Linked DNA regions of Tamandua tetradactyla. The protein of the gene in region 2 interacts with the protein of the main gene of each other region in a biochemical or structural test. Links are inferred from orthologs where the notes say so. Each region holds a gene or a part of one and is shown on either strand. Other genes may lie near its edges. The genes, in order: SORCS1, SORT1, LRPAP1 and NGF.

Region 1 (7,597 bases), on a different chromosome or scaffold from region 2:
GGTGTAGAGAACTTGACGTTCACAGTGCTCCCTCATAGGTACCATGCCGTGTAATTCTCTATGATTAATCTGACAGACACTGCCACCGCTTTAGAGGTGAGGAAACTCACACTCAGAGAGTGTAATCAACTTGCCAGGGTCACACAACACATCGAGAGAACTAGAACTCAGGTCTCCACGCAGCTTTTCATTTCTCAAAGTTGCCAGAAAAGTTTCTTTCTGCCTCCCTCCATTTAAAAAATATTTTAAGCTTTGTCTCTCTTGTAAGGCTGGATCAGTAAGTAGGGCCAGCTGTGATTTGGGAGACCAGGATAAAGACAATGTCTGTTCCTCCACAATCTGTTTGCATATACTGGGAAAAAAAGAAATTGTGTTTTCACCGAGGCAGAGGTGGGTATGTGCTCATAGAAAAAAGAGACTTCAGGGGTAAGAATCTCACTAGTTAGCATGAGCATATGGCTGCTCAAAACTTTAACACTCACCACCTTGGTTATTTTCTACATTGTTTCAGACCATCCTGCATGGTACTCATAGAAATCTTGACCCCAATAAGCCCCACTGGGCTTGTGAGCACCATTAAAAAAATAACCTGGCATGCATCATGCCATTTCTTAAATGGAGTTTCAAATTTCCCAAAGATGTACTTTCCTTTTCTCACTCTTTCCAAGATCTTTCAAGAGATGAACTAAAGTAGAGGTCTAATGGGTGAGTGATATTTTACAGCTTGAATTACATTAAAAGCCAGAAATATTTTGAGCCCAAAGTCCTTTGCTTCTTTATGAATGATCTTACATGTTTGATGTGTTTAAAATCTTCCCTTAAAGCCAGAAGCTTTGAGTTAATCACTTAAAGCAGTACGAAAGTTATTCCATCAGTTAAAGAAGATTCAAGTTCAAATTGGATGATTAATTTTGGTGATGGTTTTATGGAAGATATGATAGTTAAGGTAGAGGATGGGGGCAAAGGTCTCCAAAACTTGAATGGAAAAAAACAAATTCTGCTTCAATTCTTTAATTAAACCACTCCTGAGAACCACATAAAACCACAGGCTCTGACATGAAGGCTGAATTGTAGGTAAAACCCTGCCAATGCTCTGAGGATAGAATCATCAACAGAAAATACTTTCATCACGATTTGCCTTAATACAATTTATGCCGATGTATCCAAGGACTCAATAATAACAGACTATTATTTTAAAATATTCACCAGTTTCATTAAAGCTGACAATGAGCACAACTCACTAAGTGGCACTTCTCTAGGAACGTTTCTGGCAATTATCTCACAACTGAAAACACTGTGAAAAGTACCAGGCTGTGCACATTACAAACAATACAATCTGCAAGTCCCAACTTTTATTTATTCTTTCTTTTTTCTTTCATGTTACCCATCCTTTTCTGTTCTTCCTGTCTTGCTTAATAGCAGCCCAGAGAACTTTCCACACTTTTTAAATCATCTCCAGCTATTTTACTATAAAAGCTGGTTCTTTACTGTTTCAGCTCACTGAAGTTTGTAGGTTCCATTTAAACAGGAATACTACCTCCAAATAAAAAATCCAAACATCCAAAAGCTCCCTGACAGGACCACCCTGACCCCTCCCCCCACCCCACCGCCCACCCGTGTCAGCCTCCTTCCAATCCAGCAATCCCTTTCTTCCCTCCACAAAGGGAAGGCAGGTTTTTATTTGTGCTTCTCCCTAGAGGAGGTCAGGCAATGGGGGAAAACAGGGGGCTGTTGTCACTGGGCTATAGCTGCTCTTCCTGGGATGCTCATGCCTGAGAACAACTGCTCATTCACAGGCTGGACAGCCCCGGCTCTCAAAACACACTTGCTGAGGCTGTTAGAAGATGCTGGAGAGTTCCTGCCCTGCAACTTAAATTCACTCTGTCCTCAGAAACAGGGCACTAAAGGCACATATTGTTGACTGCAGTTCTTCTCCCCTACGAAGAAGGGGTTAGGAGTTGAGCACATAAAAAATAATAATAATCATTCATTTAAAAAGTAGAAGGCTACAAATAAATGTTTTCTTCATCTTACTTGAGCCCATCAGTAATCTACCCAGTAAAGGTAAAGTCACTTGAGGGAATGTCAGACGCCTGGAAATTTAACCCATTCACCTCCACATTCATTCTCCAGCCCTCTCTGTATGCTTGGTCTTGGGCTCCACACACCAAAGCGATCAAAGAAACATACCAAACCCTGCTTAGTTCAAAGCTTTCTTCGGGGTTTGGAGAGAACTACGACGGCGTTGCTGGAAGAGGGGGGCAGAGGGGGCAGTAGGTAATATTAATTCCTAGGGAAGGTGGGCAGGAAAGACTTTGGTTTGTAGCATTTCCCAAGTCCAGAAGTCCCAATCCCCCCCCCCCCCATTCACCATCAGTTCACACACTAGCCCACTTTAACCCCTTCCACGCATCACCCCTTGGCCCGCAGTCCCATTCCACTCACGCTGCTGTTGTGGCCAGACCAGTGGACCATGGCTTGGTTGTGCGCCGAGTCGCCTGTCAGCGCAAACGTCGTGCTGGTCAGTTTCAGCTCCTCCATCCGGAAGCGGGTGGCTTTGTCCGGGTCCCGCTCCTGAGTCCCAAGCTCCTGCTGCCCTCGGTCCTTCAGCACTCCCCGGGGACTCCGACTCGCGCCCTCTCCCCTTTCCTCCATCTCCCGAATCTCCCCGCTCCGTCTCCTCCGGCCGGAGCGCGCGGTACCCGCCACGGACGTCCCGGTGCCTTGGGCCCGCTCCAGGGCCAGTGCTCTGTCCCCGGGGGCCACTGCAAACAAGGGGCGCCCCAGGAAGGGCAGGGGCGTGGCAGGGGCACTGCCTTCCGGACCCCGGTGAGGGGACCCCTCGGGGGTCGGAGCCCAGCGCGGGGCCGAGCCGGGGGGCGGCGGGGGGCGACAGGAGCCCCCGCCGCAGGCGCCCGGGGCGCAGAGGATCAAGAACCCCGCACCGGCGAGGAGCGCGCGGAGCCCGGCCGGGGAGCCGCCGCCAGCGCCAACTTTTCCCATCGCGGGAGCGGAGAGAAGCGGAGAGGGGTCCCGGACCCGCGGGGGCGCCGCGGGGCTCTCCTCTGGCCAGCTGCGGGGGGCCGCCGCTCAGGACCTCAACTCCATCCAAGTTGGGCCGCTACGCGCGCGGGCGGGCGGGCGGACGGAGGCGGCGCCGGGCAGGTGGCGGCCGCTCGCCCGGGCCGGGCTTGTGCAGAGCGCGGGTTCGGACGCCGGAGCCGCCGCCACGCGGGGGTGGAGCCGAACCGAAGTCACGGGCGAAGGGGCGCGGGCGCGCTGGCCGACGACGCGGAAAGGAAGGGAGGGAGGGCGCTGCCGGGGCTCCGGGCGCCGCGTCCCGCTGCCGAGCTGCGCCGCGCGCCGGGGGCTGCGGGGACTGGATGCGCCGCCGCCGCCGCCCCTCCCCTCGGCCTCGCCGCCGCCGCCGCCGCCGCCGCCGCTGCCGCTGCCTGCTCGCTGCTCCCGCGCCCGCCAGTCCCCGCCACGAGCCCGCGCGCTCCTCCCGTGGGACGGCCAACCCCGGGCCCCCAGAGCGGCCACAGTGTGGGGGTTTCCCAGTCCTTCTGTATTGCTTTTCTCTGTCTCTGTTATTCACTCCTCCCACGCCCCCTCCCACTTTCTTTCTGGTCTTTTCCAGTTAGGAGACCGGCAAGGCTTGGCTCCTGCTCTTTCCTTCTCTTAGTCTCGGTGAGTTGGCATCTTGACATTACCCCGAGCACAGCCGGTGTGCCCAGCCCGGGGGAAATCCCGGAGGGTGTGTGTGTGTGTGTGTGTGTGTGTGTGTGTGTGTGTGTTTTAGGTTATTTCCCCCCCCCCCATCAGTTTGAGCCCAATCTACCTGTATTTAGTTATATTTTAGAAAGCACTTTCCTAATCCGAAGGTTTTGTGGGCGTATATTTCGGCTTCTCCGAGCGACTACAAACTCTAAGGAGAGGAAGACCGAATTGTGAGCAATTTAGAAGTGATTATATTTGGTTGCCATTTTATCCCCAGCGTTTTGGTACAGTGCCCTACAGAAATCTGTCAGTCATTAATTCAATAAATATTTATTGAAACTCTAGAATATATTTGCATGTAGAATAAATGCAGGGAAGGAGACACAGTGCTATATTTATTTTGTGTCATTTGAGCTTAGCTCAGATCCCCACAGGCCTGGAGATCCCCGTTAGCAAACTTAATGCCTGCGCTGAATGCTGGGCCACGAAGTTGCCGTGGGACCTCGGACAGGTCACAAACTCTCCGCCTCCTAAACTTTAAAATTAAGTGGTTGGATTAGATGACCTTTAAAATTCTTTTCACTCCTAAAATTCTGTAATTGTATGATTATAACATCTGCCCAGCCCAGCTCCCCTGCTACTGTTCAAAAGTTCAGATGAAGATTTATAGCAGGAGAATGGGCTTGAAAGTTAAACAAAGAATTTCTCAAAATTTTCAAATCGTATAATTCGAAGGACTGAAACATCCTCACATTCCTTTGTGGTTCTCACACACCTAATAACACTCATGTGCACATTGTAATTATTCAACGAATATTTACTGGTTGAATAAATGAATACCACAATAATATAGTACTAATTACAGTTTCTAATTACATTTCTATTAATTTTCACACTTGCATGGTGACCTCACTGAAAAAAATCTGGCCTCTTAGTTGGGATGGGACCAACTTGAAGTAACTGAGTAATAATTTCCTTGATTAATGGAACTCTTTCTGATGCTGTCCAAGAGACATTACTCTTATGTCAATTCAACTCAGTGGTGTTATAAAAAGATTAATCTCAATTATTATTCTTATGAATAGGCCAAGAAAAGTGCATATGTAAGGAGGGCAGACTTTGAGTACCTAACAGGACAAAGGAACGTCCATCTTGTCACTAAAGGAGACTTCTGCTCATCCTGCATCCTCCTAAGAAGGGAACCCTGTCGGACAGGCTCTAGACTGGGATGAGAAGAGAGCTACACTCCTCCCTGTCCCCAAAATTGTAAATGCTCTTTGTCAAAGCCTATGGCAGCCATTTTCCTCTTCTCAAAAAAGTTTCCAGAGCTTTGCAGGATCTTTTGCTTGACACCTTCTTTTCATGCCCTGCTAGCTTCCTTTCCAGTCTGAAGAAGTGTGTGGGAATTCCTCCAAGAGACGAAAACCAGATCAAATCATTAGAACCCAAATACAGCCCTATCCAAAGACAGGACTGGAGAAAGCAAAATGGAAATGAAGAAATTAATAGATTTGAGTATTTGGGGCCTTAGTCCAGTATTGTCCTAGCAGAAATTTAGATGGTTCTTGTTTCAAAATGAAACTCTTGCTGAAGAAAATTAAGGCGTTATAGCTGATATTTTTCTCCCTCCAGAGTTAACGACTCCCCCTTTCCAAAAATGCCTGTTCTAACAGTTTCATTAAAGTGGAGACATTTGCAGTCCATTTTCTGGGAATTTATAGAGGCCATGCATTTATTAATGCCCAGTTTTAGCTATCCATTTCAGAAAAAAAGTTAAATAGATGTTGATGGCATTAGCTTCAAGTTTTGTTTTTTAAATAAATTCCCCACTGACCTTTGTCAGCAAGAGGAAGGGGAAGTACTAACAATTCCTGAAATTATTCCCCTTTCCAGAAGACATCAAAAAATAGGCTCATCGTGAAGAAACCTGAGGTATTTTCAATCCAACAATCCACTAAGGAACCCAACGGATATTAATTTGACACGAGAAGAATAAGCACATATCTGTAATTCCTTTCACTGGGGAAAGGAGTCTTTTCACTGTGTCATGAAAATACGTCTTAAATGCTGCAATTCCTCACCATCTCCGTTGCCACCAACCTAGTCCAAACTGCCATCAGGTCTCACCTAGACCAGAGTAACAGCCTCCTTATTGCACTTCCAACACCTCATTTGCTCTACTCCCTCTTTTCTATACAACAGTCATCTTCAAAGTGAGATATGAGTACCCCAATGGCACCACAAGATGATGTCTGTTTGTGCAGGAAGAAAATAAGAATATTTTATATATTTAATTTTAATGCAAAAAGATTAAAAGTTAACCTTGCTAATTTTGACTTACTGATTCAAATGGTTACTGTATTAAAATATTAGCAATTAACCTTGCTAATTTTTACTTAGTGATTAAAATATATAACTATATTAATTATAACTATATAGTTATATATTTTATAACTATAATTGTGTGTAATACATAATATGCATACATATATATACAGCCATATATATATGGAGAGAGAGACAATGAGCATTTTGGAGCCACGTGCCCCAAAAGATCAAAAAGGTTTGGGCACCTTGCCCTACAAAGTAGCAATAGTGGTCATTGCTCACCATTGCTTCAAATGCTTTGATGCCTTACCATAGCAAACAGAGTAAAATCCAAACTCCTACCATGCCTGGGAGGCCTACATGAGCTGGATGGGCTCTACCACCCGTTCTTCAGTCCCTTCTGGCCACACCCTCCCTCCTCACACATGTGCTGCAATCACTCCAAAGTGCCAATATTTTTTTCCAGCTCATGACCTTTGCCATGCTGTTCCACCTCCCTGGAATGCTTACCCACTTCACACGGTCACCTCTTCTTCTTTGAGTCCTGCACTTTAAACACACTTCCTTACAGACTTTCCCCAACCCCTACCTAAAGGAAAAATTCCTTTCACATTTTCTCTATCAGACTCTTGTTAATACATTCACAACATACAATACAGCTTTCAATTATTTTATCTGACCCTGTTTGTGAGTGTCAGCTTTATATTTTTTAATACTCCCCACAAAGGTACCTGTGAATAGACCTATCTTCCTCGTTCACCTGTTAGTTTCCCAACACCTCCCTCAGTAGCTGGCTTATTGTTAAGTGTTCAATACATCATGGCTAGCTGAGTGACACATGTCTAGCAACTCTACCTACACAACTCTTAGTAACTAATGTTTTGTCAATCAGGAATTATGCTACGAATTTTACATGGAACCCATTCATTCGCTTGTTTATTTGTTTGATTGTTTTTACAAAGTTTATCTCAGCTAAGTATTATTATTTACATGAGGCAAAGCAACTATCTAGGGTCACACAACAATATAGTATAAGACACAAGACTTGAGCCCAGACATCTGATTCCTCATATGCTCTTGACTTTATGCAGCTGTGTTTCTGCTCCAAATCCAACCCACAGCAGATAACATTTATTGACAGTTTACTGTGTGCCAGACACCCCAGTTAGCACTTTGACTCATTTTTTAGTGTTGACGAAGCAATTCTGGAAAAAGTGAACAAATTAGTTTAGGCTGAGGGGAAATATTTATTCTCCATTTCTATTTGATTTGTTCTCTCTTTTTTTGTGTGGGGTGGGGGTGGAAAAATATTGAGAGACTGTTATACTTGCCAGTCATAATCTTACTGCCCTGGCTATTTTTAACTATCACACTGGATCTCCTTCTTCCTCCTTTTCTAGGTCTTTTCTTCTCTGATGGATACCTTGGCTTCGGTTTGTACTAAATCACATTATATGCCTCATCATAAAGACACTGTCTTTTAATAGCGCTCTAAATACTTGGCTCCCCTTGGATACCATTGAGACAAGGTGTCTTGCATTTCAGATCA
Region 2 (7,990 bases):
TGTCCACAATAATTAAATCCAGTACATGTGAAATTTAAAATCAAGAGATTGGGGGTGGGGGGGTGGGGGGGTGGGGAACGATATGAAAGAAAACCTCCCAGAGAGAAATAAGGAGGCTAGAGAACAAACTGTTGGATTTCATGAGTGTAGAACCCTGAGTTAGTAGGGCACAGGTTTCCTAAAACAAAAAGACCAAAAGCACTATCATGCTTTAGTATTATTTTATTTTAAGAAGATTAATTAAATGCCAATATATTCTCACAAGCAAAATAAGTCACAACAACAGGTCTAGGAGATTTGCTAAAATGTGCTGGAGATTTTCATTCTCCAGTCTGAAATATCTCTGGGAGTAGGGGAGGACATCTACAGCACCCCCAGTATCTAGCAGAAATCTGGGTGTTTCGTGAGCATTCACATATATTGTTTATATAAAATTAATATGACTTGAAATGAACAGCATCAATTTACAAAAAATAAGAAAATCAAGAATCTTTGATTTTTCTTCAGAATTGAATTCTGTTGCCTTATAGAGAAAATGACACGTCCCTTCCCCAGCTGTACAAAAGTGTACAATATTTCTGATAAAAAGTTGGTCTGCCATGCTGATACTTTTCTTTCACACTTTTTATAAAAGGATCCCAAAATACAAGAGCTCTATATACAGTCTGTAAGACTTATTATGACTTACAAAAATAGAGAATGAAAAAGCAAAGCAGACAATTAGATAACAATTCTTGGTTCAGGAAACAGAATCTTTAACAGCTACTTTACCTAACCATTTTTAAGGTGAAGCCTACTAACAATGGCTCTACTTTTGATCAGATATCAACTAACAACAACAACAAAAAATGGGATTCCTGAAGAAGAGACCATACATGCTTAACCAATACAAAAATAGCTATTTTTAATTAGGTCACTGAAAAAAGAATGAAAAAAAAAATAGAAACTAGAAAAAATCATTGGAAACTAGCTAAATAAAATGAAAAAATTAGAGGGAGTCTCTTTACATAGTCTTCAATAAATGAATGGTTTCAGATCTGCTCTGGAGTAGATTTGGCCTAAGAGCCCCCTGAATCAGTTTTCTCAACTTTTTACTTTAAGAATCAATGTATTAGAAATGACATATCAATTCAAACCAACCACAGAAGACTGTGACTAAAGGAATAAATCCAGGAATAGCACCAGACCTAAAGGTGATCCATCCAGCAAGGGAAGAACCTGAAATGTGAAGTGAGAATGCAAAATCTAGCTGTCACAAAAACGGAAGTTGTCTTGGGATAATTTAAGCATCAGTGTTGTAAAGTCTTTCTCAACCCCCAGCTGTGAGAAAGAAATCTACACAATTTTTTTTTTCCTCATCAAAGAGGAAGACTTCTCAGTAAATCTTCCACCCCATCAGTAATCAACATGCACAAAACGGACCCACCCACCCTTCAGTGCTAACTTGGCTACCTTCTTCCAACTGCTTGGGCTGCATAAAGTTGAATTATTTCAGAATGTCTGTGCCTTGACCCAAGAGTGCCCTGGGTCCCCGATGTGAGAACTATGTCACGGATAACAAGTATGGCCCAGGAAGAGGGAGAAAGACAGTTCAAGGGTAAACTGAGGCTCGGCTGATGTGCAATGTGGACAAAGCAACACAAGGACAACACAGCAATTCTCTTTGAAAGAGGAAAAAGGACAATCATGATAAATAAAGTGGAGAAAACAGGCAAGACTATGAGGGAGAAAATACATTAAAATGAAAGTACATTATGCACATGTGGGTACATTATGCACATGTGGGTGGCAACAACTAAATCGTTAACTTGAGAAAAACATGAGGAAGACGCCCAAGTTGGACTGAAGCAAGGAGCCAGGACATCCCTAACAACCGGCCTTGTCAATCCAGTAGTGTACAAAGGTTGAGCTACTTGTCCCCACGGCCAGAGAAACTGCCACGATTTTGAAACTTCTGACTAGGAACTGACTCAAAGCAGAATCTCTGCGACGTCTATCTTACTGTTGGAAATACTGAGAAGGCTGGATATGGACATTTTGGCCTGAGTGGGATGTCCACGACAGAAAGCCAGGTTTGAAGAAGATCACATATGTACTGTCATCTCATTTCCGAACCTGCACCTTTCTCTAACTATTAAAACACACACACACGTACAAAAAGTGTCGTCCAGCAACTGCTCTTCGGGTTTCTGTCCCCCTGAAAGCAGTGATCCAGAGAGGGCACACCTTTACTTCCGAGCCCAACTTCTCCAAGCACTTCAGAGGTATCTGCTTTCTCCAGCTTCCTGGTAGACATTAGCGTTTTGGATCCTGATTGTTTACAGACGGAAAACAATGACGCTCAAGAGATTTTGACAACTTAAAAAAAAAAGAATGCCGTGAAAAGTCTAAGATTGCCTGTCCTGTGACGAAACACAGGCGTGCCGGCAGCGGGTCCGGGGGCCGCCCGAGCCCAACTCCAACGCCGCAGTTTCGGGGCCGCGGGCGGGGTGCACGGGCGGGGCCAGGCCCGCGAGCAGCCCGGGGTCTCCTTCTCCTCCGAGACGCGAAGCGCGCGAGGAAAAGAATGGGGGTCCCCGCCGTAGAGGCGGCCGCGAGGGGCCCCGGGGGCGGCACCTCGCAGTCCGGGCGGCGCCCACTCACCTGGTGCGTGTTGTTGGCCAGCCTGGCCACGAAGTCCCGGACCCGGCCGCAGTCCTCGTCCTCGCCTAGCACGCTGCGGCGCCAACGGCCGCCGCGGGGAAACGGGCCCCCGGCCGCGGCCGCGCGCAGCCCCCAGCTCACCCCGACGGGGCCGGACCAGCGCGGCAGCGGCGCAGCAGGCGGCGGCGGCGCGTCCAGCCGGTCCTGGCCGAGGGTCGCGGGCGACAACAGTTGGAGGAGGAGGAAGAGGAGGCTGAGGCCGTGGGGCCAGCGCAAGGGGCTGTCCGCAGCTCCCCGGGGCTGCTCCATCGCCGCCGAATGCCGACGCCGCCGACACCTGCCGCCCGGCGCGCCCGCCCACCCCCGCCGGCGCCGCGCCACACCCCCGAGCCCGAGCCTGGCGCTCCTTGGATACGCGCAGCCGGGCCTCTCCGCCCCCGTAGGCTGATCGCCTGTCCTTCTTCCCCGGTCCACTCCTTATTGGCCCGCGTCGCCGCTGGCTTAGGGGGTCCTGGATTCGGATGCCAGGATGCAGGACTGATTGGCTGGAACGTGGCAGAGACGGCTGAGGTCATCCCTCCCCCCGCCCCTCCCCCGCGCCCTCGCCCGGCGTCTCTGGGGCCGGGCTTCCAGAGTTCGCTTAGGGAGCGTTCCCCACCTTCCCGCGAAGCCCCCCGCTCTCCTTGGTATTTTTTCTGTTACCCTCAAGTTAAGGCTGGGTTAGTCCCCTCCCTTTCCCTAGAGACAGGGAATTTTAAGGGAATTTAATTCCCTTAAAATTCCTTCGGTTGCGGCAGCGCCTGGAAAATCTCAGGGAATTCCTGAGCTCGCTCAGCTGCAACAGGGGGCTTCGTCGTAAACTGGTGCTTCAGGTTTTTAACCCCCGCGCACTGGGGCGCCCATTGTCTGCTGAAGCAGCAGCCTTGCTGCCAAGGTGAACGCGAACTGTGTGGGCCAAATCCTCCAGAGGCAGATAGACATCAGGACATCCGTGACTCATGCAAAAGTGAAGAAAGTCTTTCCACTACATATGGCCTCATTCGCCTTCCTCTTCTACAGGGAGGTAGGCCAAAGGCATAATTACTGATTTTCCTGGAGTGAGAAAGTAGCTTAGACATTAGGGGCAGGAAAAAGGGGGAAATGCTTACCTTGTATTTGGTCATTTCATAGATGCATATTTATCTTTACCATATGCCTTAACCGTGCAGTGAATGCAATGCACAAATTTGGCTTTCTGTTTATGATGTCCCCTAAATTAGCATCCGCCCCCAATAAATAAAACAACCCCCCCACGCTGCACCCTTTACTGTAGAAACTGCAAACAACTTTTAGAACGTGCAGCACAAATAAAACTAGTTCTGGATCTTTAATCTGACTCCATCCCTTCAGAATGATAGATGTTCAATATAAAAGGTAGCAAAGAGAAAGATACAAAAAATATGCAAAATGTTACATCCAAATAAAGAAAGTAACTGAAAATTATCTTTTAACTATAAACTGGCAGTAAACACAAATGAGAGTATATTCATTGTAGAGCGAAATGGTGTGGTGCACCTAACCCAATTTTTACATCAAAATCCTTCTGGTCAGGTTCGAAGTGAAAAAAAATATATATATCTTATATGTATGTATATATGTGTATATATATATATATATTTTTTTTTTTTCTCCCATTCTGTGGGTAGTTTTTTCACTCTTTTTTTTTTTTCTCATGGGCAGGCACCGGGAAACCAACCCGGGTCTCTGGCATGGCAGGCGAGAACTCTCCCTGCTGAGCCGCCGTGGCCCGCCTGAAAAATATTTTTGAGTGCCACCTGAGGATGGTAAAATCACTAGAATAGTCCTCTAAGTTCTTAGCTACTGAACGGACAAGATAAAGCGCCATGAAATCTAGTGAACAATATTCTCCTTTCCGGAACTATTTTTTAAAATACAGATTATTTTTTAATCTATGCCAATTATGGAGTAGATCACAAGACAGTCAGTTCTAGTAGCATGTGATTAGTGGGAGAAGAGGGATTAAAAGGAATATTTCTTTGTTTAGGTGACACAAAGATGAATGGTCTATTGTCTTACTGTCTGAAAAGAGCCAACTCGACAGTGCCATCTCTTGGAGAAATTACCAAATACACTTAATAAAAGATTATTTTAAAGGAATTATCCTATGCAGATTTAACTCTAAATTGAATATTAAGGTGTTGCAATTATCTAGTACCTTCCATTTTTAATAGCTATTATATGCTTATAGTATATACATATATATATATATATATTTCCTTCCTCAAATTATCAACTGCTGGGGAACGGGTTAGGTTTAGGAACTGAAAAAAATGAGCAAATGAATATAGTATTTCAATTTTGTTTAATAGCAGGCACTAAATACAAAAACTTTTCACTATCAATTCTCCCTTATGAAACACTGCACATAAGATCTTATCTTACTTGTAGGACCAAAATATGTGTATTTATCTTATTGAAACTAAACTTTTCTCTAAGATAAATTCTCTAGGAGAAAGATGAATAGAAAGCGATTACACATCACAAAACCATTGCTTTTCCTAGTAAGATCATTCCTTCTATTTAAATGGACACAAGAAGAAACCTTGTAGAAATGTTTAATTTTTTGTATTTGATTTTCTACAGAAAATCAAAGGTCTAACTCTTTGAAGAATATGCATTATAATTTAGAGGGTATATTTACTGTTTTACTAGTTGTACTCTCAGATACAAATAAACTTCCCAGGCAGTGGGAGGAAAATGTAGTATAAGCTGAAGCTCTGGGCTAAGAGCTACTTCTTGGTATTTTTCTTCCCTACATAATTCATGTGATTCAGACACACACCTCTCTCACCTCTCCCTTAAGCAGTGTGCTTGGTCCATTTCTACTTTGACCTAAACTAAGCTAAAAGGGAATACTGATTGTCTGAGCTTCATGAAAACACAAACCATATCACAGCTCTATGCCCAATGCTTAAGAGTACCTGACATACAGTTGGTACCCAATACATTTGATAATTAGTTTTTCATGCTATTTTCCACTAGGGTTTAATAAAATAGTGAACATCAAAGAAACTAAGAACATGATATTATATATATATATATATATGAACATGTTATATTCACTAAGATAGTAGATTAAAATCATTAGAATAGTCCCCAGAACATTGGTGACAATATATAATAGTTTCCTTTCCTTATGAGTGCGTCTAGGGCAAAATTCTTCTAAATTTGTTTCCTGTCATTGCAGCTTCCAAATGTACATAACCACAAATTATTTTTTGCTGAAACTACAGTATGAATTTAATAAGAATTCAGCCTACTCAAATAATCAGAATGTATTTCACATCATAGAGTAGTTTCTTACAAATGTTAATGAACCCAATACATAGATCCCAGCAAGTAATTCTGGGGTTCTCACTAGTGAATTACCACCAACCAGTTCTGCCTTATCCACCGGTGGACTACCACATTATGGATATTAGAAGTACATTTCAAATTTCCATATTTCTCCCTAATACTCAGAAAATATTTGGTTTCAAGGGGCCTGGCATTATAAAATCAAGAAGAGCTGGCGATAGGAAACCAGTTCAAATCTCAGCAGCAAATTTTCTGTGTCTATGGCACAGGGCCTCAGATTCTGAATCTTAAGGTAGGGATAATGATACCTACTTCATATGGTCATTTTTTTGGTTTTGTTTTATATTTCTTTTTATTTTTATTTTATTGTATGGTCATTTTTAAGGCTCAAATAGATTGAGTCTTTAAATAATCTCAACCAATCATATGATGGAAGCTGTAATGGGGATAATTATATAACCCATCCCTAAGTCTAATGTGAATTACTTCTGAGATTTGTAGTGGATTGCCAATGAGACCAAGATCATGAATTTCTTTCTTTTATAGTCCTTAACTTCATAAAAGGAAAATCTCTTTTCAAATTGTACCCTTTATCTTAATTATGTTCCTATCATTCTTAATTCCAAATTAGAGGAGTTCTGATGTACAATTGTTGTGACTGCTCTATGAGCATTTGGAAAGATCCTGCATGTTCTCTTTTCCAGATATACACACATACAATTGCACACAGTTGTGTGTCCGTGTGTGTGTGTAAATTAGCTTTACCATATTATGAAATTAGCTCTCCTATAACTTTAATTTTCCATAGACTGAGAGAATCTACTTCTACTAGTGTAAAAAAAAAATCTGTGCCCTTTCTCTAGACATAACACCAATGTCTATCAAGACACAAGGCCTGGTACAACAGTGTAGACGACTTACTATAACCCATCAGTGTTTTGGAGAGGACCACAAAACGAATCCTCTCAACAGTCAATTAGTAGCATCTTTTCCACAAAAGGAAAGAGCGAAAATACATATTTACTCAAGAGAAACTACTACAGGATTGAAACGCGTTTACAGTGGCATTAACATCTATAAACCACTGGGGGGAGCTGGACTAGTCTGAGTTCACTTGCCAATGCCAAAGGATTCTCGACAGTCATTAAAAGAATTTTAGAATAGACATTCTCGTAGGATAGGAAAATTAATACCACTACCCTTTCTTCCCCCTAACATAAGTATTTCAAACAAAAGACTGCAATGTAAGACAGTCTATTAACAAATATTTTTAAATTCTCTTTATTTTCAGAATTGCCTTTATGTACAGACATCATAAAAAAATGCTCATACACTGGAGATTTTCTTAGAAACAGGAGCTGGAAATAAAACTTGAGGGCAACTGGGAGAACTGAAATTGTTCCAGAAGTTCTGAGGATCACACTTTCTTAAATGTCCTTGATAACCTCTTCAAGTTCTTCCTTTGTGAACATGTGGAAATTCTGGCCAGGCTGCACTGTAGCTAGCTGGAAAGAAAATAGGGAAGGGTTAATGAGCTGGGCTCAATTACCCTGCTGATCACCCTAGCATGGCCTGGAGAAGCTGTGTTGGTGATGCAACTGTTCATTAAGAGCTAAGGGATCTGCTGTCCCAGGGATCTCCTTTCCAGGCCATAGGTCCCTAAAATAGCTCTGATTCCAAAATAAAATTCTTATTGACCGATTTTCTATTTTGAGATTAACTACCACACAAGAGTTAAGCAAATGCCTAGTGTCATTCTCACTTCTTGAAGTTACTTCACAAAGTTCTCTCTCTCTCTCACACACACACAATACAGCAAAGTTTATGGGGTCAGTACTTTTTTCCTATTAAAAATTTCTGTAGAGATATATTTTAACCACTTTCAAGCTGAACTTGTGTGTGACCTTGGGTTACTTGGTCACTCTGTGCCTCAGTTTCCCCATCTTTAAAATGGAGAAAAATCCTACCTGACACATAAGAGTTGTTGTGA
Region 3 (7,127 bases), on a different chromosome or scaffold from region 2:
GGCCTCAGCATCTCCTTCACATCCACCCACAGTGGTCACGGAGCCCTGGGTGAGAAGCAGATGGTTCTCTGCGTATCCTCACTGATCACAACCCTGCCCCCTGCCCACGCTGGGATGGCGGCCACTCTGCCCAGGACCCAGCTCGCCAACACCACCAAGTGAAGCACCAAGGTCTCTCCTGACAACGGGGAGCTCCGCTGGCAGTAAGGACGACGACAGTGACTGTCCGGCCTGTGCACCAGCTCACCTGAGGTGACACAGCACCTGGGGCACAGGCTTTAGCACCACTGCTGAGAAGGAAAACCAGGGCAAGGTAGCATGGACTAGAGTCTGCCCACAGAGCACGAGGACATAGGAAATGCTGCAACACAGAACCCTCGACCTGGAGAACCTTCAAATTTTCTACACGAGAGACTTCCACATATGACTCGAATTCTAGGGGGACTGGAAATATCTTGTCCAAGGAGCAGAGGCCTGCAGGAAAGCAACAGGCCAAGCAGCAGCTGGGCGGATAAGGGGGTGTGACAGAGGGTCCTGCAGGGCAGGTGAGGGCTTGGGACCAGATTCCACGAGCAGAGGGAAGCCATGCATGACCCTGAGCACCAGGGTCCATTTCCCCACAGAAACCCCAATGCAGCCAGTTTCTTCCAGGTAGGGTGAGGGGCCCCTGACCTTGTCTCTCAACAGATGCAAGGTGCACCATCACGGGGCCGACTGGGGACACAACAAGCAAGAACAGGCCTGCTCCCTTCCTCCAGGGAGCCTCCCTGGCACTCCAGTCCAGATCTCTCTCCTACCACCACAAGCTGACCACACACAAGGGGGCTCGGCTGCCGGGCCTCCCTCCAGCAGAACCCTGGAAAGAACACTGGGCCCAGGGAAACGCTCCCAAAGGGCCTACTGAGTCTGGTTTCCTTGTGCCCTCGCAGTTTCCTCCACCCACCTGGCTCTCCCCTAGCTTTTGCCCTTTCCCACCTCTTTCTTTCCTGCCAAAGTTTCTCTTTTTCCTTCACAGACTTAATCCTCTTTCTCAAAGTGTTGACTCTCCTTCTCAAAGATTCAAGGAATGTTAAACGTGAGAGACTCAACAGATGATCTCCTCTGACCCTCTTGGTTTCAGAGATGAAGATTCTGAGCCTGGTAGGCCAGCGTGTAGTGTGTAAAGACCCACTTCACGGAACACAGCCCTCTGCCTGCCAACTGCAGTAACCAACCACCATGTCAATGTGAAGTGTGGCTGGTGCTGGGGCACTGAGGCGGGGCAGCAGCCTGGACTCTGCTCCTACTGGTTTGAATGACCTTGGCAGATGCCCTTTCCCTTCTGGGCTTTGTTATCTCCATTTCTAAAAGGAAGAGGATGAGATTCAACCATCTGCTAAGCCTCCTAAAGTTTTAGCATTCCTTCAATCTGGCATTCTAAAGCCACCCATCTCTTTACTTCCCCATACCTTCTGCTCCTTACCCAAATTAACCAGAGTTCACTTGCTTTTGGGGCCCCAGGATTTGCCTTTATGCCCCAAATCATCTATTTTGCCTGCTTCTCCATATAGGGAGATATAACATAAGAAAAAAGGCAAAGAACTAGAAGCCATGGGACATGTGATCCAGTTCCACTTCTGCCCCCAGGTCCAGTCAGTTCAGGTCAGCACAAGTAGGGGAGGTCCCTGGCACCGAATGCTCAACAATACCTTCAGGATTAAAATGGGGAAAAGAAATGTAATAGAACAAGGTTATGAGTGGCTAAGAATGTTCAAATGGACTCTAGAAGCTGTTCTGGAGACTTATGCAAGCTTCAGCTAGATATTGCTAATTGCCATGGTTTGCCAAACCCTAAACAACATCATTCCAGTTAACCCTAAAGAACACCTAGGGCTCTAAATGAGACTCGACAGAAGCTTCACGTATTAACCTTACTTCCCTGAAACCTACAATCTCCAGAGGGTTCCTAAGCCAGAACCCCCCGGGGTCCAGCCTCTCCAAGAACATCACTAATTCCATCCCTCTATCCTATATTGCTGACCACCCCCCTCCTTTGCAACACGAAAAAGTTAGAATAGGTAAGGCCTAAAGACCCCTATAGACTGGGAGTAGGCTCAATGGAGGACGAGCTATAACGGAGAAGAAAGGATTAACAAACGAGTATGACTGTTGAATTACTATAATGATATTTCTTTTAGCTTCTAGTGTTCTGAAGCAGTTACAAGGTAAAATCTGAAAATGTGGAATGGTAACACATACCAAATCTGTTCTTTAATTGCATGAATCTGATTGAAATCTGTTCTTCAATTGCTTGTCAAAATGTATTACGAAAAAAAATTTTTTTGTATGTATGTTACATTTCACAATAAAGAACATTTAAAGAAAAAAGCAAGGAAGGCATGTGTGCACGGCCGGGGCTGGGTGGGGGTCATCACCTAACCTTGCTGGATCTGTCTCCAGATGTGGAGAATGGGGTCGACCCCAGAGCCTGGAGGCGTGCGGGCAGCTGCCAAAGGGAGGTACGGCCCACGACGGGGTCTCCCTTTCCTGCTGCAAACGGGAACGTGACCGCGCCCACCCGACACGAGGGTGAGCCTTTGCCAAGGACAAGGGTTTGTAAACGGCACTATCCGGAGCAGACGGTCCTGCGGGCGCCCCCACCCCGACCCCTCGGCCCCCGGGCCCTGGCGAAGGCCAGACTCGCAGCGCGAGGAGCGGACCCGAGCCGCGGCCTCCCGCCGTGGACAGGAGGGCGCGCCTTCAGCTTTCCCGGGCCCCCAGGCCGCGCCGCGACCCGCTCACCCGCTTGGCTTTCTCCCACAACTGGTTCAGCTTCTCCATCCGGAACTCGTCACCGGGTTCGCGCTTCGGGGGCAGCCCCGGCTCGTTCTTCTCCCGCGAGTACTTGCCGCCGTGTCCGGCCGCCGGCGCGGGCCCGACAAGGAGCAGCAGCAGCAGCAGCAGCAGCAGCCCGCGCGGAACCGACCCGACCTTCCGCGACGCCATCTTTGTCTGCGGCGCTGACCCGGAGACCCGGCGCTCTGCGGACGCCCGGACGCCCCGCCCCGGCCCGCCGCACCGCCTTCTGGGAGTTGTAGTCTGTCCCGGCGCTGCCGGCCCAGGCGAGGCCGCCGGCGGACTACACGACCCAGGAAGCCCTGCGGAGACACGTGGACGTTTCCCCGGCAACCGCGCCACCGCCTCCGGAGCAGGGTGCGGATGCCCAGGGCAGAGCCCGACGCGCCGCGGACTCCTGGATGCCGGGGATCATTCCGGGGTCGGTTCGGGAAATCTCAGCACCCACAGCCCGGCGGAATGTCCGAAGGCCTCTTTCCCCCCTGTTCCCTGGAAGGAGGGAAACGTTCAGAAGCAGGACTATGTCTGGCCGAAGCCTTAGATAGTCATTGGTCTTGGTCCCGGAATTGGGGACGCCACCCTACCTGACGCTCGGAGGCGTACCCGGCGGCGCTGTCAGGAAACTGAGAAGCGCTTGCTCCTACCCTTCCCGTTATAGAGGAAGGAAAACGGAGGCCCAGGGAAGGGCTGAGCGGCAGACGGGTCCAAGTTGAGGCTTTCCCCACCGTGCAGAGAGCGCCCGCGCGCCCCAACGCTGCCCCATCTCACACACAACTCGTTTGCATTTTTCCGTGTTAGAGATATCTATGTACCTGTCTCAGTTCTCCTCACCCCAGTCGGGAAACCCGCTGAGCGAAACTGGCCGTGGCCAGGATGCTTAGCAGTGCCCGGTGGAGAGAGGGTGGGAAACAAGGGGAAGGAGTGGACACAGACTGCTGCCCAAGTAGCTTGAGCTATAGGATGGAGTAAAGACACCGACAAAGTGGGGCTTGGTAAGGGACAAGAGCCTGTCTGGCAAGGATGATGGAAAAAGGCCTCGGAGGGGGCTGAGGGGTGGGGTTGAGCCTGGAGGGGAGGGCGTTCCAAGTGGAGGGAAGATAAGGGCAGAGAGGGTGGAAATGGCCTGGGCATCCTGATGGGAATTCATATTTATTTACTTTCAAGTTGTTCCAGAAAAGGTTTAAGGGGCCTGGAATCAAGGAACAATACTGTGTCTCTCACTGCCTGATATCCAGTATCTTGAGAGCCATTGTTTCATATGTTTTGTCTAGTTTTTTAGTTGCTTTAAGTGGAACGGTGATTTAGATTCCTCAGTGTTGATGCATCATGAGATGGTTGGCCTGAACAGCGGTAGTTTAATGGCTCACTGTTTTGAGGCTAGGAAAAGTGTAAATGAAGAGGATGCTTGCTTCCCGGTGTGCTGGGCTGGCCGCTGGCGGCCCTGGGCTCCTCTACCACAGGACAATGCACATGGTGGCATCTCCAGGCCTCTCCTTTCTCTTCTGGGTTCAGTGACCTTTTTGCTCTGGCCACTCCCTTTGTGGCTTTCTCTCTGTGTGTCTGAATTTCGTTCTGCTTACAAAGGACTCCAGTAATAGGATTAAGACCCATTCTGATTGAATGGCCCCACCTTAACTGAAATCAGCTCATCAAAAGGTCTTTGTTACAGTGGGTGCACACCCACAGGAATGGATTAAATCTAAGAACACGTTTTTTGGGGGGATCCATAGCTCCAAACCACCATAGAGGGTAAATTCAGTCTTTGTTCCTCAACTACCCAGTTGCCTGGCTTTTAATATTTAATGCACTCAACCTGCATATTAGTTAGGCGCTGTGAACTGCTGTGACAGACAAGCAAAAATGTATACAAAAAATGTATAAATGGCCCAACAGGATAGAAGTTTATTGTTACTCCTGTTTAAATCTGAAAATCATGGAGACATGTTGAGTGAAATAGGCCAGATGCAAAGGGACAAAAATTGTATGATTTCACTTACATGAAAATAACAATAATGTGTAAACTCATAGAGACAGAGAAAATTACAGGGTGGAGGTGGGGAGCGGAGAGCTAATGTTTAATGGATACAGAGTTTCTGTTAGGAGTGATGGACCATTTTGGTAATGGATGGTGGTGATGGTAGCACATTGTTGAATGTAATTAACACCATTGATTGTACACTTGAAAGTACATGTTACCAGAATTTTTTTTGTGTTAAACTATATACCTGATACATGTGAGAACCATGAAGACCTCATATTGAATGAAATAAACCATACACAAAAGGACAAATACAGTATGATCTCTCTTACATGAAATAAATAAAGCAAACAATTTCCTTGAGTCAAAACTAGAATACAGGTTACCAGGGACTGGAGTCGGGTAGGGAATGAGGAGTTAGTATTCAAACAGCACAGTTTCTATTTGGGACAATGGAAAAATGCTGGTAACGGATAGTGGTGATGGTAGCATAATAGTGTGAGTATAATTTGAATATAGTTAAAGAGGGGAATTTTAGGTTGTAGATTTGTTGCTAGAATAAAAATTTGCAAAGCAACAACCGTAGGACTGAGCAGCACAGAGAACCCTAATGTAAACCATGGTCTATAGTTAATAGTACAATTGTAGTAATGTTCTTTCATCGGTTGTAACAAATACACCACACTAATGCAAGATGTCAATAATGGGGGGATACAAAGGATAGACTAAGCCTACTTAAAATTATGTCTAAGAGTCACCCCCAAGAGAACATCTTTTGTTGCTCAGATATGGCCTCTTTCTCTCTCTCAGCCAACACAACAAGCAAACTTGCTGCCCTACCCCAGTCTACGTGGGACATGACTCCCAGGGGTATGGACCTTCATGGCAACGTGGGGCAGAAATCCTAGAATGAGCTGAGACTCAGCATCAAGGGATTGAGAAAACCTTCTCCAACTGAAAAGGCAAAGAGAGAAATGAAACAAAATAAAGTGTCAGTGGCTGAGAGATTCCAAACAGAGTCAAGAGGTTATCCTGGAGGTTTTTTAATGCATTAAATAGATATCACCTTTTAGTTTAAGGTGTATTAGAGTGGCTGGAGAAACTGCCTGAAAATGTAGAGCTGTGTTCCAGTAGCCATGTTTCTTGAAGATGATTGTATAATGATGTAGCTTTCACAATGTGACTGTGTGATTGTGAAGACCTTGTGTCTGATGCTCCTTTTATCTACCTTGTCAACAGACAAATAAACCACATGGAATAAAAAATAATAGGGGGAACAAATGTTAAAATAAATTTAGATTGAAATGCTGGTGATCAATGAAATGAAGGGGTAAGGGGTATGGTATGATTTTTTTCTGTTTTTTTTATTTCTTTTTCTGAATTGATGCATATGTTCTAAGAAATGATCATGATGATGAATATACAACTATGTAATGATATTGTGAATTACTGATTATATATGTAGAATGGAATGATCAAAAGTTAAGAATGTTTGTGTTGTTATATTTAAAAAAATTTTAAATTAATAAAAAAATAAAACATTATTCAGAAAAGTCATCTTACAGGATCAGGATTTTATGTGATGTGTGGGAGAGGCAATGTTCTGAAAATCAACTGGGAGAAGAAAATTCATAAATATTAATAAGTAGAAGCATCATTATTGATAATAAAATACAAAGCAAAAAAAAATATTGGAGGGGTATATGGAAATTTTATTTCTGCATGATTTTTTCTGCAAACCTATAACTTCTCTAATAAATTAAAAGAAATATGTATAAACCTACATAAAATTGGAATAAAAAGCCGTGAAAGTCAAGAGTTCCTGATTGCCTGTGCCATCTTCAGCCCAGAGTTTCCCAGGTTGTGTCCTCTGGCAGGGGGCTGGTGCTCTGGGGATCTCTTGGGGGAAGTGGTGGGTGGGCCAGGCCTGGGGCGGCTCCACCACCTCTGCTTGCTTCCACAGCCTCAGACCAGGTATGTGGTCACCCCTACCTGCAAGGGAGGCTGGGAAATGCCGTCCAGCTGTCTACCCAGGGGGAAGGGAAAATGAGACCTGTGGACAGCTGGCCCACCTTTGTCTTAGACTACCTGGGGCTCTGGCAGACTGCTGACCTCAAAGCCCATGGCCTTCCAGATCCTGGCATCATGAGGCATGAACTTGACAAAGCCAGGATATATCGGAGTGGTAAGGGCCCAGAAGGTTCATCTCGGTGTACAGTTTCCACTGACAGGCTGGTAAACGGAGGCTGAGAGACAAATTGCCCAAAGTCACATCACTGCTGAGCACCTTTCTGGGTTGCTTAGTTGCTCCCCG
Region 4 (7,619 bases), about 7.7 Mb from region 2:
TGCATGCTTGCCTCAGGATCTCTTGGTCTCACCACTATTTGGAGTTAGGATCTTAACTGTTTTCCCACTGTCACGAAGAGAGGTCCCTGGAAATGGGTTTAGGAAGGGCCTCGCATTCCTCTTTATTTGCTTGATGCCCCCACATGCTGTTCTGTGAAACTGGACCACCAAAGAACTAATTCCTCAGGACCAACTCAGCCTGAAAGCTGATAGGCTAGTTGATGGTTTGCAAGATCAGAGGTTCTAGTCAAAGGAAAAGAAACCCTCTGGGAACAGAGGGTGTTTGCTCAGAGATATCCAGAGATTTTATGCAAGCCTTCAGTAAACCTTCCACTGCCTCCTGAGAGCAGCAAGAATATTAGCTGCCAGCAAGGATCACCGTGGCCTGCTCTGGACTCCAAAATCCTTGTACGTTCTTGCCAGGAAAGGGTAAATGGCTGGGCCTTGGTTCCTGTTTTGGCACCCACGTCTGCTTGGAGATCTGGGACTTGCATCTCTTGTACTTCCCTTGTAGTTTCTCTGAGGATCCAGGACAGTTGTTGCTGCAATAGGGCATTCCATAAACGTGCCGCAGTGCTCACCACGCATTGGAAAGCAAATTTGTGTGGTTTTCTCATCAGTTTAATCTCAGTAATGATGAGAAACTTCCCTCAGGCTCCAGCCCTGCCCTGCCCTGCCCTACTCTCCCTGCTGATGTCGGCAGCTGGGGCCCCTTCCTGGCGAAGGCAGAGATTTCTTGATGGGAGAGAATGGAAGCCCACAGCTTCAGCCCCTGGTCCTGCTGGCCCTGGAGGCAGGGTAGCTGTCGGCAGGCAGTAGGGAAAGTGGGAACCTCACTAAGGGCTAAGGGTAGGGAAAGGGTCATCGACACTGGCAGGAGTGTGGGCTCAGTTCTCCAATCCTCTGGCAGGCTGGGCTGCTTTAGGAATAAGACAGCTTGCCCAGGGAAGGCAGTGGTGCCAGTAGCTGGTTATAAAATCACCAGAGGTATTTTTACAGTTTTATCAAAACATATGTTCCCATGCCCCACTGCCTGTCCCAGACCTTAGTTTCTGATTTGTGGTGTCTCCTAACACTATTTTTCCCTTCAAGGCTGCCATTTTTCCACCTGCATAAAAATGTTGGGTGAAGTGAGGGGGAGGGATCTGGTACAGTGCAAAATTAATCCCATCCCCCTGCAGCCACCCTTGAGGGCTGAGGGACACTCATTTCTTCTGCGAGTTGGTGTGGACAGGGTCAGTCTCAGCCTCCAGACCACTCCCACGCCCCAGTCTACTATTCTCCTCTGAGTCTCTGGGAACACTGCCCATCTCTGTTCGACATTCGGGTTGCCAGGTTGGCATATAATTTATTCAACAGAAGAGACCCATCAGATGTCTAATGCAGCCTTGCTTCCTTAACTCTTCAGAGAGACAACATTTCAGACACTCAGAAGGAAACTGTGAACACTGGGCGAGAAGAACCGGTGGAGGCCAACTGTTGCTGCAGTGCTTGCACTGCCTTGAGAAGGAGAAAATATTCCCCTCCAGCCAGCAGTCCTGACTGACAGCTTCAAGACTTTGAAGAATAGCTGATCAGATCTGGAAGAGAAGTCACTGGTGGGCTCTCCACTAACATTTCTGAATTTGCAGAATGCAGCTGGCGATGCATGCACTGGGGGAGGAGGCGGCCAGGCTGGTAGTGGGTGTGCCCAGAGGATGGAGCCAGGACAATTAATCAAGTGCCTTTTCTCTAGGATTTTCATTGGCCTCAGATGACAAATGGGGCAGGGACACCGAGGAGGGCACTATTTTGGTTTCCAGCTGGGAACGTGCACTCAGTTTTCCTTAATACCCACAGCACCCAAAAGGCTTTGCTGTAATACACTTTAATGCATGAAACACCCATAAATCATCCTTCAAACTGTTACAACTTCCAACCTGGAACAACTTGGAAAAACCAGCCTAGCAAGCAAGCTCTTTTTTAATCCCTCAAGTCACAAGAGAAGAGAAAGTTCGAGTAGAAAACACCTTCCATAAGAATTGCAGAGATTTTGTTAAAGAAGGAAAGTCGTAATCAAACGGAGCTAAGCAGCTTGTTTACATTGGCTCAGAGATGCAGCTCCCTGACCCCTGAGTCCTTTCTTTCCCTCTTCTGGATCCTCGCGGCCCAGACCCAAGACGCCGCCCCACCGCTCCATGCCAGCTTCTTCACACACCTGGCAGCAGACAGCCGGGAGTGAGGCGTATGACCTAAGTGGGACGGCAGAGCCTTGCCGACCTTAACCTGGGCAACACCAGCGCAGGTCTGCGGAGATCTCTAGCGCGCCGGACCCCACTCATGGAGTTCTGTGTCAACACCCCGCGCCCTCGCTCGGGACCCTAGTCGGCCTGCGACGCGCGGAGGAGCCCTAGGACCTCTGCTCCATTCCCGGCAGCAGAGCTGACGCGCTGGGTCCCGCTCGCCCCCTCACCTGGAAGCAGCGTGGCACTTTCCAGACTTGGCGCGCACCCCGACCCGCGCGCGCTCCGCACTCTCTCTCCGAGGAGCAGACCACCACTCCTCCCGCCCCGGCGCGCTTGCAGCCCGCGCGCATCCTCTCCCTTCCACACGTATTCACTCTCCCTCACTTGCGCGCTGTCCCCTTCTAGCCCTCGAACCTGTCCCTGGCACGGCCCAGTGGCTTCTGCACGCTCCAGGGGTGCCTTCCGGATTTCGGGCCAAGCGGGGACTGGGACCTCTGCGGACCAGAGAGCACGCTGTTCCCCGGACCCGCCCGCCGAGGGTCCCGCGCCCCCGCACCCACTCGGGACACTCCTCCGGGTCTGCACCTCACCCGGGACAGCCTCGGAGGTACCCGGAGATCTCACCCGACCAGGAGCCATGCATACCCTCCCGAATCGCCCAGCCACCCCAAACCGCACCCCGAGCCCGCGCTGCGCCCCTCTCCCGGCTCGGCTCGGGGCAGCTTGACTCACCGCTGTGCTCCCCTCAGGCTCCCAGCGCTCTCTGCTGTGTCGGAGCGCCGAGCTGCTCTTTCAATTCTTAGCCCCTCCTCCCTGGGTCCTGAGTCACACCCGCTCCAAATCCTGGCCCCCTCCCTCCCCACCCCCCACCCCCCAGCCCCGCACCTGCTCTGGCTGGGCAGAGGCACCCCGCGGCAGGGGTCTTGGGGGCTGGAGATCGATCGCCCCCAGCAGGGCCGGCGGGACCCAGAGAGCGAAGGGTCCAAACCAACAAAGGTCAAAGGGAAACGCTCGGGACGGGGGTCAGAGGAGCCTGGTGCGCCAGGCAGGGACAGCGTTTTTGTGCGACACAAGGTAGGGGTGCAGGCCCGGGACGCGAATGGGCCGACAGACTGGGACTGGGCGAGGTTGCCCGGTGCTCACCTCACCTCCCTGCCCTCCCCCCACTACGGCGCGTTGCCTGCCTCCAGCGTCTCCGGGATCTGCTCTTGCTGCCCTCGCCCCAGGAATGGGCTGCACCCTAAGTAGTCCGAGCACTCTTCATCCGTGACACCTCTGGTCACCCTGGACAGGCGAGCAGCCAGGGGAGCTGCAGGTGCAGGTGCCTGGGTTCCTCTGCCCTGAGGGAGGACGGCAGCTCCGAGAGCAGGAACCAGCTAGAAGACCCAGCCCCAGCCAGTAGGGAAGGAATAAGAGGCAAAGAGCTTCAGAGTCAGGACCTAGGCCCTAGACCTTGATTGACAGCCCTGGATTCTGTGGGCTTCAGGGAGGACCCTGACCCCTCTGAAATCTGTAGGCAAATCTCTATGTTCATGTGAGGTCTGTACATTTTACTGGGAAAAGGGCCCCCAGCTTTCATCAGTTTTGCAAGATGTGCGGCCCCAAACTGGCCTAGATAGAGTCTTCTGCCCCACCGCATGCCCTAGCGGAAACCTCTGTTACCCCACTTGCAGGATCCTAAATGAGATGGTATCTCCCGGCCTGCCCTTTACTATTTCTGAGTTCCCTGAATTCACATCCTACCAGGGGAGTTTCCGTGGCTGATGCCTGTCTTTCTGCCCCACCTGTTCTCAACATCCAAGTTAAAGCTAGTGATGGAGAAAGACCCCTAAAGTCAAGTTTTCACCAAACGTGCATGATTAGTAGTAACTGTTCTAGAAAGCCATGACACCACAATTCAGCTGAAGACCACCCTCAGGGCGTGGGAACTTAGCCAGGCACAGGGGCTCCTGTTATGAATTCGAGGGTGGTCCTTAACTTGCAGTGGACAGCATTTGAGTGAGGTGGGGACCTGCCTGGGTGCTTCCAACCCCCTTAATACATACAGATTCGAGATCTGTACTTCTGTTTTCACTTTTAAGTCCATGCATATTAGGCATGCTCTGAGAAGGATGAAAAGGAAGAAAGCCCTAGAATTAAGAGTCAGCTTTAGTTTGGGTGTGACCCCCCTTATTTCCCCGCAAAAGCTTGTCCACTTGTGATTTGTTCAAATACTGGCTAGTGGATCAACATACTTTGGAGGCAAGGGCAAGAGGCCAGGGAACACCGTAAATGGCCCTGTCTGCAGAAGTAGCATCACAATCAGATTGCTCCATTAGAAAATTTATCATGGTCAATTAAACAAAGAAATTTCCAGGCAATAGAACAAATTTGTTCATCAATCATATCAAGTATAAACTTGTTTGAAAGCATCCGCCTTAAGCTTTACATAATAGCTGTCCAAGAATTTAGAGATGAAGTTGAAAATTTTAGAATAACAAAGAATTTGGGGTTGAATACAGAGCTTTTTGCATGTGTCTTTGTGGCATCACCCAGAAGGACAAAAGAATTTGGGGCACTTGTGGTTCTTTTTCATGTGGTGTGTAAGAGGGAAATTCAAAATGATGTGAGCAGAATCTAAGTCTCAGTGTCCCAGCCCCCAAATTGTTGCTCATATTCTTATGGCACACATTGGTTTAGTAAGAGCTCCTTTCCATCCTGAGTAGCATTGTTTCAGTCCCTGAACTTTAAGGTCTTGAGTAAATAAGGACACGTAAAGAACAAACAATAACTCCAAAGATTATTGGGGGCCTACTATGTGCCAGATCTGTGCTATGAGACAGATATAGGGTATGGGGGGAGGTGCTTGATTATTAGACCTTGGCCACATTTATCACAGTCTCCCCAGATGTTAGCACAAGGCCTAGCACATAGTAGGTGTTCAATAAATGTTTGTCGAAGCATTTATCTGGGAATAGTCGGAGTCATTTGTGGCTGTCAGACAACACTGGATCTGTTTTCAGCAGGTTCCAGATCAGGCTGGCCTTGGCACAGAGATTATAGCCAGGTGTCTCTTCTCTGGCCTTTTCAGCTTTCATGAAAAGCCCATATGAAATGCCCTTCTCTTGGGTCATCGTGACAAGGACTTTAAGGCCTGGGCTAGCTGCATTTATAGGAATAAAAAAAAAAAGAGAGAACTGAGAGGGCAACGACCAGAAGGAATGGTACAGACAAGTAGAGGAAAAGAACGTTTTTCTGTACTAGATTTTCTCGAAAGAGCTTTTATCCAGGGTATCAAAATAACCAGCAGCTGATGGATTTGCTGACTTGGAGCTCAGATTGTGGCGTATACAGTAATTGTTGTTATTTCTGAGGATTCAGAAGACTGAAGCCATTGAGTGCCTCGTCAACAGCAGCCTCAGCCCAGCATAAAGCTCTTGCCTATTGCTTTGTTGCAGAAGGCCAGGACAAAGTGCACATGCTATTTAAAACACCAAGAGGCTCAGCAGTGATTTGCCAGCAAGGATGAAATCTTTGGATCTGCTTGCTCTATGTGTGAAACACAGAAATATCTTCCCAATTGCTGGAGGAAGTGGTAGCTCATTTCAAAGTCCCCCCTCCACCATCACCACCACCACTCCCCTGCCTTCTAATCAGAGTGAAGAAAAAAACTTCAGAAGAGGAAATATTTCATAATGTTTAGCGCGATGACATGGTTACAGGATCACAGAGATGACCAAATCCAGCTACCTCATTTATGGACGACGAGACAAGGACTCAGCCAAGTACCAGAACCTGGGTCTCTTCACCTCTGAGGCCCATCCCTGTCTACTCCTGGGATCTGCTCCCAGCATTTGCCTGTCTCTCTCTCTCTGATAGCTTGTTTCTCCATCTTTGCAGGTTCCTTCCCTTTTACTTGCAAACATTCATTTGGCTTTTCTCTCTTTAAGAAAGTGCTGGCCCAACCACTGGATTTCTCAACTTCCTTTCACCACCAAATTCCTCAGGAAAGTGATCTACACCCACCGTTTCTTTGGCTCCCCTTAAACTTCCTGCAATCTGGTTTCCATCTTCTCCCCCCTCCCCTTCCCTTCTCCCTGCCTTAACTGACATTGTCTTCTTAAAGGTCACAGTTGCAGTAACACCACCACCACCAATATAATAACAGCAGCGTTTATTGAGTGCTTCCCTCATTGCAGGCACTGGGCAAGACATTTTAAAGGCTCTGTCAGTAGGAAGGAAGATGAAGCTTGAAGAGGTGAGTCACTTATCCAGGTCTTGTGGCTGGTCAAATGGCATAGTAGAGATTTGAACCCAGGCCTATGAGGCGGAAGCTCTTGCTGTTAAACACCAGGTCTCCTGCTTAGTTTACCCAAATTTAGTTGACATTGCCAGTCACCTACCTCCTTGCTGAGTTCTCTGCAGCCTTGGGCTCTGCTGATGACCTTCTATCAAACACTTTCCTCTGAAGACGTCTAACTGTACTTACCGTCTACCTCTCTGATTTCTCCTTCTGCCCTGTGAACTCATGTGCCTCCCAAGCCTGTACCCTGTTCCAGGAACCCCCTCCTAATTGCATGATTCCAGCCCATGGCCTCAGCCCTGATCTCTCATCCACACTCAAGTCACTGACATTTTTGAGCATCCATTATGTGCATTATGTGCTACCTAGGTTCTTGTTTCAGGCTACCTGGACAAGCACTAGGCAAGATCTGTGTTTCTATCTCACCTCTGACTCTCAGCTCCCTCCATCCAAAATCCTTGGCCCCTTTCTTGAGCAGTAGCCCCACTGATCCCATTAAGGAAACCGAGGTCAGCGAAACTGCTTGGGTTGAGGACAGTTCAGCTCTTCTCCAGCAGGGGCACTGCAGCCTAGGAAAGATACCAGCTTGAAACAGGGAGAATTTAGCCCAGTTATCCTGTCTATCCTCAGAGGCTGAGTGTGACCTTGGGAGAAAGACCTATTCTTTTTGAGTCATCATAACTATAAACAGAAATATTTATAGAGCAACTGCTGGGTGCTGGTCCTGTTTTAGGTGCAGGAGATTCGGCAAGTAAATAGAACAATCTCTGGCATGGAAGTTACCTTCTGGTAATTTGTTTCCCTCTTTTAATAAGTATTTACTGAATGTACAGTATATGCCAGGCCTATAAAAGGAAAATCGTGGTTTTGGTGAGCTTGATTTGGGTAGGAGGGTGAGACAGCTAAAGAAACAAACAATGAAGAGTCAAGTCAGCCATCTGGGGATTGGACTCTATCCATTGCTCTCCTGACCCGAATGGCTGCGAGCCTCCAACTTCTCAGAGGGCCTCCAACTCCCCACAGTGACCACGACTACAGCCCAGATCAGATCTTCATTGGCTCTGTCTTCAAAGAGACATTTCCTTGTCCTCTCACTAGGGCAAGTCTTCAAT

The links.
Region 1: the proteins of SORT1 (region 2) and SORCS1 form a complex in vitro, tested with the Homo sapiens proteins (2 studies listed by BioGRID and IntAct, with this or other methods). The link is inferred for Tamandua tetradactyla from reciprocal best matches to the Homo sapiens genes SORT1 and SORCS1.
Region 3: the proteins of SORT1 (region 2) and LRPAP1 form a complex in vitro, tested with the Homo sapiens proteins (4 studies listed by BioGRID and IntAct, with this or other methods). The link is inferred for Tamandua tetradactyla from reciprocal best matches to the Homo sapiens genes SORT1 and LRPAP1.
Region 4: the proteins of SORT1 (region 2) and NGF form a complex in vitro, tested with the Homo sapiens proteins (3 studies listed by BioGRID and IntAct, with this or other methods). The link is inferred for Tamandua tetradactyla from reciprocal best matches to the Homo sapiens genes SORT1 and NGF.

Annotation. Positions count from the first base shown.
Region 1 is NC_135339.1:69,268,432-69,276,028, forward strand, and holds the start of SORCS1 (VPS10 domain-containing receptor SorCS1), read right to left. Parts: upstream 3,004-7,597; coding exon 2,446-3,003; intron 1-2,445.
Region 2 is NC_135337.1:13,515,867-13,523,856, reverse strand, and holds the start of SORT1 (sortilin), read right to left. Parts: upstream 3,003-7,990; 5' UTR 2,953-3,002; coding exon 2,644-2,952; intron 2,356-2,643; exon of another isoform or gene 2,297-2,355; coding exon of another isoform or gene 2,156-2,296; intron 1-2,155. Other genes in the region: PSMA5 (proteasome subunit alpha type-5), read right to left, coding at 7,428-7,505.
Region 3 is NC_135345.1:3,642,507-3,649,633, forward strand, and holds the start of LRPAP1 (alpha-2-macroglobulin receptor-associated protein), read right to left. Parts: upstream 3,012-7,127; 5' UTR 2,986-3,011; coding exon 2,782-2,985; intron 1-2,781. UniProt on the Homo sapiens protein: Molecular chaperone for LDL receptor-related proteins that may regulate their ligand binding activity along the secretory pathway.
Region 4 is NC_135337.1:5,863,503-5,871,121, reverse strand, and holds the start of NGF (beta-nerve growth factor), read right to left. Parts: upstream 3,009-7,619; 5' UTR 2,958-3,008; intron 1-2,957. UniProt on the Homo sapiens protein: Nerve growth factor is important for the development and maintenance of the sympathetic and sensory nervous systems.